Coturnix japonica: one gene and its partner. The protein of the gene in region 1 interacts with the protein of each later gene in a pairwise test. Links are inferred from orthologs where the notes say so. Each region holds a gene or a part of one and is shown in the gene's direction. Other genes may lie near its edges.

Region 1 (4,835 bases):
CCTCTTGATGCGCAGGGCTAAGCACTGCCTGGTGCCTTTGCTGTGCAAGTTTATTCAAGGTACTGTAACATTAATCCCCATTGCTCTTTGTTTAAGCAGACTGAGCTCAAGCACTGTCCCACTAAGCATGGTGGAGAAGCACTGTTTGTGGTTATGCATCAGGAGATTGATTTATTTGCTCCTACTAGCTCTCCCCATACTGTTTTGCCTTCACACACACACACACACACACACACACACACCAACTATGTTTGAAGGTGGTTGTTTTTGACACACCTTTAAAGCCAGTAAAAGAAATGAAATGTTCATCGTTCTGTCCATGAAACCTGGCAAAGGAGCTGCACTGTGACAGGAACATTTGGTTGTGAGAACAGCTGCCATACTGTAACGGCTTAAAATACATTGGAGATAACTCTTTTAAAGAATAAGATGTATTCTAATGACCAGTGATGGCTCTAAAGCATTGCAAGAACTCAGTTCAAAGCCCTTGAAATGAATAACAACCCTTCTGCTGACGTTACTAATCTTTGGCTCAGGCTCATTAATGTATTTCAGATATTATAACCCCGGTGCCAAAAAGATGAAAAAATTAAAATGTACTCATAAAAATAGACATCAAATGTTTTTCTGTTCTGGGAATTAATATAGAAGCTAAATGCTTCTGCTAGCGCTTTACTGCTGATCTTTTCTTACTGTTTCTGAAGGAATTAGTGGGGCGAGTGGCTCATTTCAGCCAAGGCTCTGCCTCCAGCAGCCACCCTGATCTCATGCCACACAGACTGGGAAAATGCTATAACCACTGTAATAGTTTTCACTCTAGCCCTGTAAATCAGCTCTTTCCGGGACGTGCTGTGCTGATGGAGAGGAGGGGGAGGAAGGATGGGAGTGGAAATAGAGACATTCGGGCAAGAGTTGCCCACCTTTAGCTTTCGTGTGATTCATTATGGATCAATACTGTGCTCACGAGCTTTTATAGCTCATTAACACCAAACAGCATCAAGATATAAATTTGTTATAGTGCTTACCGAGAACTCGGGGGCATCTGGAAGCAGACACGAGTGACCAGTAACTCAGGGACACAGCGGGATACAAAGGAAGCACAGATTAGTTGACCGATTTGTGCTCTAGGTAGAAAACAGAGCTCGAGTTCTGACCCAGCTCCTGATCTCCAGGTGCCGGTCGAAACGTGCGTGGCGTGGGCATGTGCGTGTGTATTGCTGGGGAGGACGAGGAGAGGGAGCGTGACCCGCTGTGATCCCTTGTGGGACTGGGGTGCCGGCAGCTCGGAGCCGGCCGAGGTTTCCCTCAGCCCTTCGGATGCTTTCGGGTCGAGCACTTCTCCGGGAGCCCCGCGCAGCGGTGCGGTTCTGATCCGTGACGTCGCGATGTGAAAACGCAGCGTCAGCTCGCAGCTCCGGCTGCGGGGAGCCCGAGCTCTGTCCCTTTAAGAAACCGAGCGAGTCGTGATGCCGTTGTTTGTGTTGCTAAACCCCCAGGAGTCCAGTTAAGAAACGGGCAGCTGTCTCTTTAAGCGTGATTTCCTTCTATTGTATTTGAATCGTGATCAGGAAAAAGGAAATGAAACCGGAGAGCCGGGGCCGCGCCGCTCAGCACTAATAGCGATGCCGAGCTCCCCGGCCGCAGCACCCGCCCGGCTCCGCGGGGCGAGCTGAGAACCGCGGCCGGGCAGGCACCGGAGAGCGGCGGGCAGACAGCGGTGGCCGCGGTAGTCGCCCCCCGCCCGCCCGCAGAGCCGCAGCCGGGGGGGCGGCCCCGGCGCACGGAGCGCAGGAGGAGCGCGGCGAGGATGGGAGGTTAGAGCCCGCGGGCAGCCCCGCCGCCGGAGCCCGGCAGCCGCCCCAGCCCGCGTTTGTGTCTCTCTTTGGTGTTGCAGGAGGAAATCCTGTGAATGTCATTGGGGGGCGGAGGGGGAGCGCGGCCGGTGACAAGGCGTCGAGAGCAGACGGCCTTTGCGGGGGCAGCGGGGGCAGATCGCACCACAGGCACGCTACAAAGGAGCCATCCCTGCCAATGTCATCGGCCATCGAGAGGAAGAGCCTCGATCCTTCCGAGTAAGTGGCTCTTTTTCTCCCTGTCTCCCCACCCCTCCGTTCCTCGCGGTGCCACCGACGGCAGCCTGCCGGCCCCGCGCTCCCCTCCGCTGTCACGGGGACCCCTCTCCGGTGGGGGTCTCTGGGGCCGGAGCACGAGTGCTGGACAGCCCCATTGGGAGGCGGCTGCGGGCGCAGCTCCGGGCCGGGCGCCTCCAGCCGCCCCTGGGTTGCGGGACCCGCTGCGGGGCTCTCGCCCAAGCTGAAAGCGGTTGTCGTTTGGGGTCCCCGGACCTGCCCCGCGCTCTTAGCCGATTATACCGAAAGGTCGGAGCTGTTATCTGTGGGTGCCCGACTTCCACATTTGCACAACGCGAGGCGCTTTGTAACTTTCAAGGTCTTTGCTGGGGGAGGTGTTGCGCAAAAGGCGTGCAGAGGGACCCCACGGTGCAGGTGGTGAGAATTCCCTTCCCCGTTTTTCATGTTCGTGGAAGGGGCCGAGCCGCAGGTCCTGTCCTGCAGCCGGTTCTGTGCAGCCTTCCCGGACATTCACCGTCCTTGACTGGGGCGACTGTGCGTGAAACAGCGCTGCGTGCCTTCGTAGCTGCAGTTACACCCCTTTGGAATCGTGATAAGAGAGAAAGAAAGAAAATCTCCTGTTTCAGATAGCACTTAAAACATCGCTCTTAGTTAAGTTTGGTCGTCCGCGGTTTGTTCCCTGCGAGATATTCAAGTGCCGTCTCTTGTAGCTGTGAGTGTGCACAGGGGAACCATCCCCACTGTGGGTTAAATCAATTCCTGCTGTGTTGTGTTTGATGTTTTGCGTGCTACGTTTTTTCTTCTATCATCTTTGAGAAATCAGCATCTGAACTCCTGGGTGTCAGTGTCCCACTTTGCACTGCAGTGCTTTAGTAGAATTTATTTGCTTTCCTGCTCAGTGTCCTACTGACTTCTCTGGCATGCAAATATGTGGTGAAGTGATGAAGAAGAAAGAAATTCTGTTCCTCAGAAATGTGTGGGGCTGTTAGAGAGCTGCCTTGTGATTCCCAGAACCTGCGAGACCAAAATATTTTGGGGCTGCAATCTCAGGTTTTGCATAATGTCCAATAAGGGACACTAAGGTGTATTCCCTTGCAGCTGCACTCTCTGTTGGGTGGCATGCAGAGCCCAGTCTCTAGGAAAGGAACTCTGGGGCTCAACTGAGAAAGCTTGGAAGAAGCAGGGCCTGCTCCTTTCACAGCCCACACTGTCTGGAGTTTCAATGAGAGCTCACAGAGCCTGGGGAGCACCGCTGGGGCCCAGCAGCTTGAGCACTGGGAAAGCAGTGGGCTGAGCGTCTTGTCTCATCACATCCCAGGGCTCAGCTCATGAGAGCTACAAGGATCAGTTTCATAGCACAGAAGTTGTTGAGCAGTGGTCATTTCTCCACCTTGTTCTAAGTCATTTTTCCCTAGAAAACTGCTAACCCGCTAAAAACACTGTATGGGTCTCCTTGTGGCAGCAGTTATAGGATTTCTCCTGTTGCCTGCTGGAATCCCAGAGCAGCCCAGTTCTGCCTTCGGCATGTCTCTGTGCTGCCAAGGGCAGAGATATGGCACTGGTGGACTGAGAACCCCAAACAGTCTGAGGTTCTGCTCTGCCTCCTGTTGAGCACTTTGGTCATGGTCCAGTAAAGCAGATAAACCTAAAGGTGCAAACCTGTAATTTCCTTTCCACTAGCAGAGGGCTGAAATGATACAGGTGCTAAAGGACTGATCCCAAAGTCTTCTTACGAGCTTCACTGGAGTCTGGATGAGGGTCTGTGTCACTGCAGAACTGAGCTCACATGCCTTCCTTTTAGGTTTTGAGCATCGTATAAAATCCAGGCTTCATTCAAAGCAGCAGCAAAGCATAAACCAGCTTGGCAGCAGCCACATCTGTTGTAGTTATTTATTTAATGCTGCTCAGTGAAATAATATCCACAGAATTAGTCTTCAAATTTACATTCCCCAGAGGAAAGCTGGCTACATGTAGAATCCCTCAGGTACCTTTTCTAATCCAACAGTCCTCTGTGAGGCAGAATAGCCTTTGCTCCCAAGCAGAACTACAGTCAAAGCTCAAAGCTCCAAGTCTACACGATGGGCTTGTGTGCTTTGGGGTGCATGCATAACTGCTCTATGGGGCTCTTCAGTAAGTTAGAGGTAGATCAAGATGTCGTCTGAGTTCATACAGGCATTTATAGGTAAATCTTAAAAATACTGGGGGAAAAAATAAAAGGGGTTTATTTTGAATGGAAACTGAAGCCTGGCTATGTGTTGTGTCAAAACAGGATTACTGGAAAACAGGATATAGTCAGAACTTGTAGGAATGTGGTTGTTGGTCAGCCCGTAAGGACCTGACCAGTGTTTCCATAGAGAATCCAGGCACCTTTTTTAAATAAGTGTCTGAAAAAGTGCAGTCTTCAATCACATGAAAATTGTGTTGTTTGAAATGTATGTATTTTTAAGAACTGCGTGGATTGAGCCCCATGTTAAGCAATTCGGGTTTCTCTGCCAGAAAAAAAAGAAGGATATATCTACACTGGCACCAATTCTCTATTAACATTGCAGGTATATTTACAGTAATGAATATTCCTGGGTGATAAAGAGATCTTCATGTTTATGTGCTATCCTTTGAAGAAAAATATATAAACAAGTTAGGAGAGTTTGGCTACTTTTATTAACTCCTTATAGTTTAAGTTATCCCAATCTCTTTAAAGCCCAAGAAGAGCGACGTGCTGCTCCCTCCCACTCATGTTAGAAAGGG
Region 2 (4,720 bases), on another chromosome or scaffold:
AGGGAAGACCAGACATGAGTTTATTGGTTATAGGCACAGATCTAAAATCGAGCCCTACAGTCTTTCCTCTAGGCCTTATGCAAACTTGTCTTCCACCTGTAAACCAAGATTTCCTTCACGTATATTTAAATTCCATGCCAGTTTTATTTCTCATAATGTCTCATGTTTTTCCTCTGCATCCTTTCTTATCTCTGTAATGTTGGCTCAGTTGCAGGCTGTGCACCTCCAGTAATAACTGAGCAGCGTGGTTTTGCTGCTTGTCATTGAGAAATTATGCATGAGTTTCCCTTAGGGCTGTTGTTCTCCGGGAGCCTGGTGGGCTTCAGCAAACTGTATCACATGCAAACTGTATCACATGCAAACTGTATCACATCTTCCTGGTCCAGGGGGACAAATCGCTTCTGGGGGAAGGAAAACAGCAAGATTGTAAGCACACTGGCTTGATGCTATTACATTATCTTTGTTTATCATTGACTTCTAGTTTGCAGGCAGCACATGTGCATCTATTTAACACCGGTCATATTTATAAATGGAAACGTTCAGAAGATATTTGGTACTTTTGTTCCCGGGGAGTTACAGAAGGTTGCAGTGGAGGGGCTGTACAGAAAGCACTGCCTGAACTTAAAGCGGGGTGGCAACCCATGAAAACAGACAGGGACACAGGAGTGTCAAGAAGCAGCATTTTTGCACGTGCATCTTGCAAGAGGCAGGAGGTACCGAGTATGTGCTCCAGGTTTGTGAGTAGAGCCCAGGCCCTTTCAAACAGCAGAGCTGAACATGGAGCAGCTGCCGTTCCTCGTCCAGGCCTGGGGGCTAAGAGCTGTGCTGTCGTGGTGCGCAGCTCCGTTCCTTCCATGCAATGGTACCAACGTGGCTCCTCGATTTGTTGTTTTTGTGTGACAGCCCCATAAACAGCACGGCACGGGCAGAGCCCTGCAGCGCAGCGGTTGAATAAACCCTGCTGGGTTCGGGACGGCAGAAGGCAGCTTCTGTTGAAGCAATGGGGCTACGTGGAACCTACTGCCCTGACTTCAACTTGTCTTAGTGCACTGAGCCTCACACGCCCCACCGACCGGGCTCGTTCCAGCACAGCCGCTTGGCCGCTATCCCCATTGAAACAGCCTGGCTGCGGGAGCCGTGCCACCGGGAGCAGAAAGCCCCGATTCACCAGTTTATTAATAAAGAAAAGTACGAGGGGAGGGCTCAGCGTCAGCCCCAACGCTCGGTTAGAGGTGAGCGCCCGCCGCCAGGCGGGGACCCGCCCAGCCGCTGCCGCCCCGGGGCCGGGCTCTCCGGGCTGCCTCCCCCTGCCAGCGGAGGCCGGGGAGGGGAAGGGGGGGGTGGCCCGGCGGGGGCTCCCCCCGCAGCCCCCGGAGCTGCCCCCCGGCCCCATCAGGCAGCACAGCCTCGGCGCGTTCGCCCCTGCCCGCCCGCCCGCCGCCTCCCTCCGCCCCGCCGCCCGCCCGCCAGCGCGTGTGAGCTGCCTCCCGCAGCCTCGCAGCCTCGCCGGGCGCAGGCGGATCGGGAGCGCCCCGCGCCAGCCGGCTCCGGGGCCGCCGGGGGGGAGGGGGCGGGCCGGCCGAGGGGCCCCGGGCCGGAGGGGCGCGGGGAAGTTGGGCCGAACGTCGGGCGGCTCCCGGTGGAAAGTTGCCGGGAGAGGCTCGGGGCTGAGCGGGAGCATGGGCACGTTGCGGGATTTACAGTACGCGCTGCAGGAGAAGATCGAGGAGCTGCGGCAGCGGGATGCGCTGATCGACGAGCTGGAGCTGGAGCTGGACCAGAAGGACGAGCTGATCCAGAAGCTGCAGAACGAGCTGGACAAGTACCGCTCGGTGATCCGGCCCGCCACGCGGCAGGCGCAGCAGCAGAGCGCCCGCAGCCTGCAGGGCGAGCAGCGGACCAAGCGGCAGGCGATCTCGGCCGAGCCCACCGCCTTCGACATCCAGGACCTCAGCCACGTCACGCTCCCCTTCTACCCCAAGAGCCCGCAGTAAGCAGCGCCCGGCCGCCTGCCCGGTGGGAAAGTTGCGAGCGGCGGGGCTGCGGGAGGGGCCGGGGCGGCTGCCATCCTCGGGGCTTCTTTCCATCGGTACCGCAGCTCTTTAGTGGCCCCTCGGCTCCGGGACGCGGCCACGTGTGGCACCTGGCGAGCGCCGCTTCCTGCCGCCGAGCGGCCCCGGACCCCTTGCTCTCCAACACAGCGGAGCCGCGCCGCTGTCGCGCTCCGGCCGCTCCCCATCGCTGCCCCGGCACGGCGGTACCCGGCCGCCCTGCCCTGCCCTGCGCTGCCCCGCCGTCTCCTGGCAACCGCCCCGCGAGGATGGATGGAGGGAGGGAAGGGCGGCCATCGCCCGGCCCCGCCGCCGCCCCGGGACCCTCTTCCCGACTCCCCCTTCCCGCCGCCGTTTCTCCGCAGATATTTTGCCCTTTTAAGGAGAACGGCTGCGGCTCAGCCCGGCGGCGGGGAGGAACTGTGGTAGACCCGCAAAATGCCCCCAGACACCCCAGGAAGCCGGGGGGGGGCGGCTGCTGAGTACCCCCCCCCCCCCCCGGTGCCGGGCAGCTGAGGCGGGGTAAGGCGCTGCTCCGTGCTGCCAGCACACCTGTGTGCCTTTGGGATGGGGCTGCCTCTTCCTCAGCCACAGTGCACACCAACCAGTGCAGTGCACTGTCTGAAGCAGTGCTTGGTTTTAACCTCCCATGGGCAGTATTAGATGCGTGGTCCCCTTGTGCCATTTCCAGTGCTCTGAGCTAAGTTGCTGCTGCACACCTGGATCGCTGAGGTGGATCAGATGGCCTGATACCTGTGAGGCAGTGCTAGGTCTGTGGTTGTTTCAGCCACTTACTGAGTCCATGGGGCACGGCACTGCTGAGTGTTTTCAGTAGGAGCATCTAAACGGAAAGGAAGATATCCCTGTTTAAAAGTAAGCTGTATGTTCCGCTCACCAGGAGTGCTTATGATGAGAATCCAGATGAGCTGCTGTTAGTGGTGTCTGTGCTTGGGAGACTGAGGAATTGCACCTGGCCTAGTTTATTGGGATCATTAATACCCAAATAATGGGTTTTCTTGCACCTCTGTGCACGTGTTCACATGGAGAGTTTATGACTCAAATATGCAGAAGGACACATTCTGCTGATTCCTTCTGAGTTATGAGACTAGTGAGACATATCTGACCTTTCACAGGATCATTAAGGTTGGAAAAGACCTCTAAGATCATCTAATCCCAGCATCAGGAGCGGCACCTTTGTCAGCCTTTGTTTGCAGGGTAACTAGAAAAGAAGTTGTCTGAAGTAGCTTTTATTTCTCCCATCGCAGAGGTTGCCAGAAGTGGCTGCAGTAAGTGGGTAAAGACCACAGAGATGTCTGGGTGTTTTTCTCTGCTTGAGAAATGCAATGACAAATCTTTATCTCCCCTCCATCTCCTGGGATTGCTGCTCTGTTTGTTTTTCCACACCTTTGACCTCTCACGGGATATGTTCTGCCTGCTAACAGCCCGCCAGCATTGAAGTAATGCCGTGAGACAAAGTTTGTATCAGCACTTATTTCAATTAAGGTTTTCCAAAGCTGCAGACTGAAGAGTTACATTCTGAGTGAGGAACGGCCCAGCTGTTCAGTGAGATGTAACCTTTGTTTGCTTTCCTGTTTATTTAGAACATAAAATAATTTGCTGATACTTATAAATTGTATCTATTCTGTGGTACCTAGGAGTGGCCCTAGAGGAACCATCAGCCCCTCTTCATAAAGCCCACGCTTTCCTTTTTCTAAAATAATCCAGACAATGGTTGCAACATCGTCCAACCGGTCAAACCAGAGATTGATAACCTGTGATCTGAGAGGGAGACAACCGCTCTGGAGTGATTGCTTCCTGAAATGTAGGGCAGGAGCTGTGAGATCAGGAGAGGACTGGTGGCCTCTTTAGTTATGTCGCAAGGGGGTTTTGCTATCGTGCTGCAAAGGCTGTCAGCAGCCATGGATGTAAACAGGCAAGGGTGATGCAACCTTTCATTTTAATTCTGTTTGAAACTGGAATTCCGTGTGATGTGTCCAGCCACCAATTGAAATTCGTTTATGATTAAGTAATGAACTGCTGGAACTGCTTTTATATCTTACGTGATAGAATGCTGATTCAATCTGAAAGTAGTTGAACATTGTTCTGAGGAGGAATCTGTGTGCCTGGTTCTGCTGCTTCATGCTTAAGCTGCTGCTCTGGGTACGTGGGGCCTGATGCCCACCCAGCAACCTGGTCCTACTTGTGAGGTGGGCCAGGGCAGCCCTGCAGAGCTGCCTCATGAGTTGTCTGTTCTTCTGGCTCTTCTGGCATCCCACCTGCTTGTCTTCCCCTCCCAGAGCAGCTCGGAGAGCAGAGCGTCACACTTTGCAGGGATGAGTTTCCATTGCAGAGGATTATATGCTTCCTGACAGCAGTTTTACATGCGGTGTGTCAAGGACAGTGCAGAATGCGAGTCAGTCAAATGCTGCTTTCCTCTGTTTTGACAGGCCAGGTTTGGCAGCAGCAACGTGCTGCTGGTGGTGGATGGGGCTTTCCTATGCATAGGAGCACTCATGTGACTCACACCTCAGGCTTTATGCCTTGCAAAGCTGCATGGTGAGGTTGCTGATAGGTTCCCTCTGCTTATGAGTCAGCTTCCCGAGGCTTTGGTGGCCAGCGGTGGTGAGAAATAACTGTTGTATTTAGTTCCTGGGCAGGGGACAAAGATT

The links. The genes of interacting proteins can lie anywhere in the genome.
Region 2: the proteins of LMO2 (region 1) and PRKG1 interact in binary tests that used the Homo sapiens proteins (3 or more experiments, as listed by UniProt). The two-hybrid records come from large-scale screens. The link is inferred for Coturnix japonica from reciprocal best matches to the Homo sapiens genes LMO2 and PRKG1.

What each region holds. Positions count from the first base shown.
Region 1 is NC_029520.1:6,398,072-6,402,906, forward strand, and holds the start of LMO2 (rhombotin-2), read left to right. Parts: upstream 1-1,575; 5' UTR 1,576-1,807; coding exon 1,808-1,814; intron 1,815-1,894; coding exon 1,895-2,072; intron 2,073-4,835. UniProt on the Homo sapiens protein: Acts with TAL1/SCL to regulate red blood cell development. Also acts with LDB1 to maintain erythroid precursors in an immature state.
Region 2 is NC_029521.1:5,668,307-5,673,026, reverse strand, and holds the start of PRKG1 (cGMP-dependent protein kinase 1), read left to right. Parts: upstream 1-1,551; 5' UTR 1,552-1,679; coding exon 1,680-1,990; intron 1,991-4,720. UniProt on the Homo sapiens protein: Serine/threonine protein kinase that acts as a key mediator of the nitric oxide (NO)/cGMP signaling pathway. GMP binding activates PRKG1, which phosphorylates serines and threonines on many cellular proteins.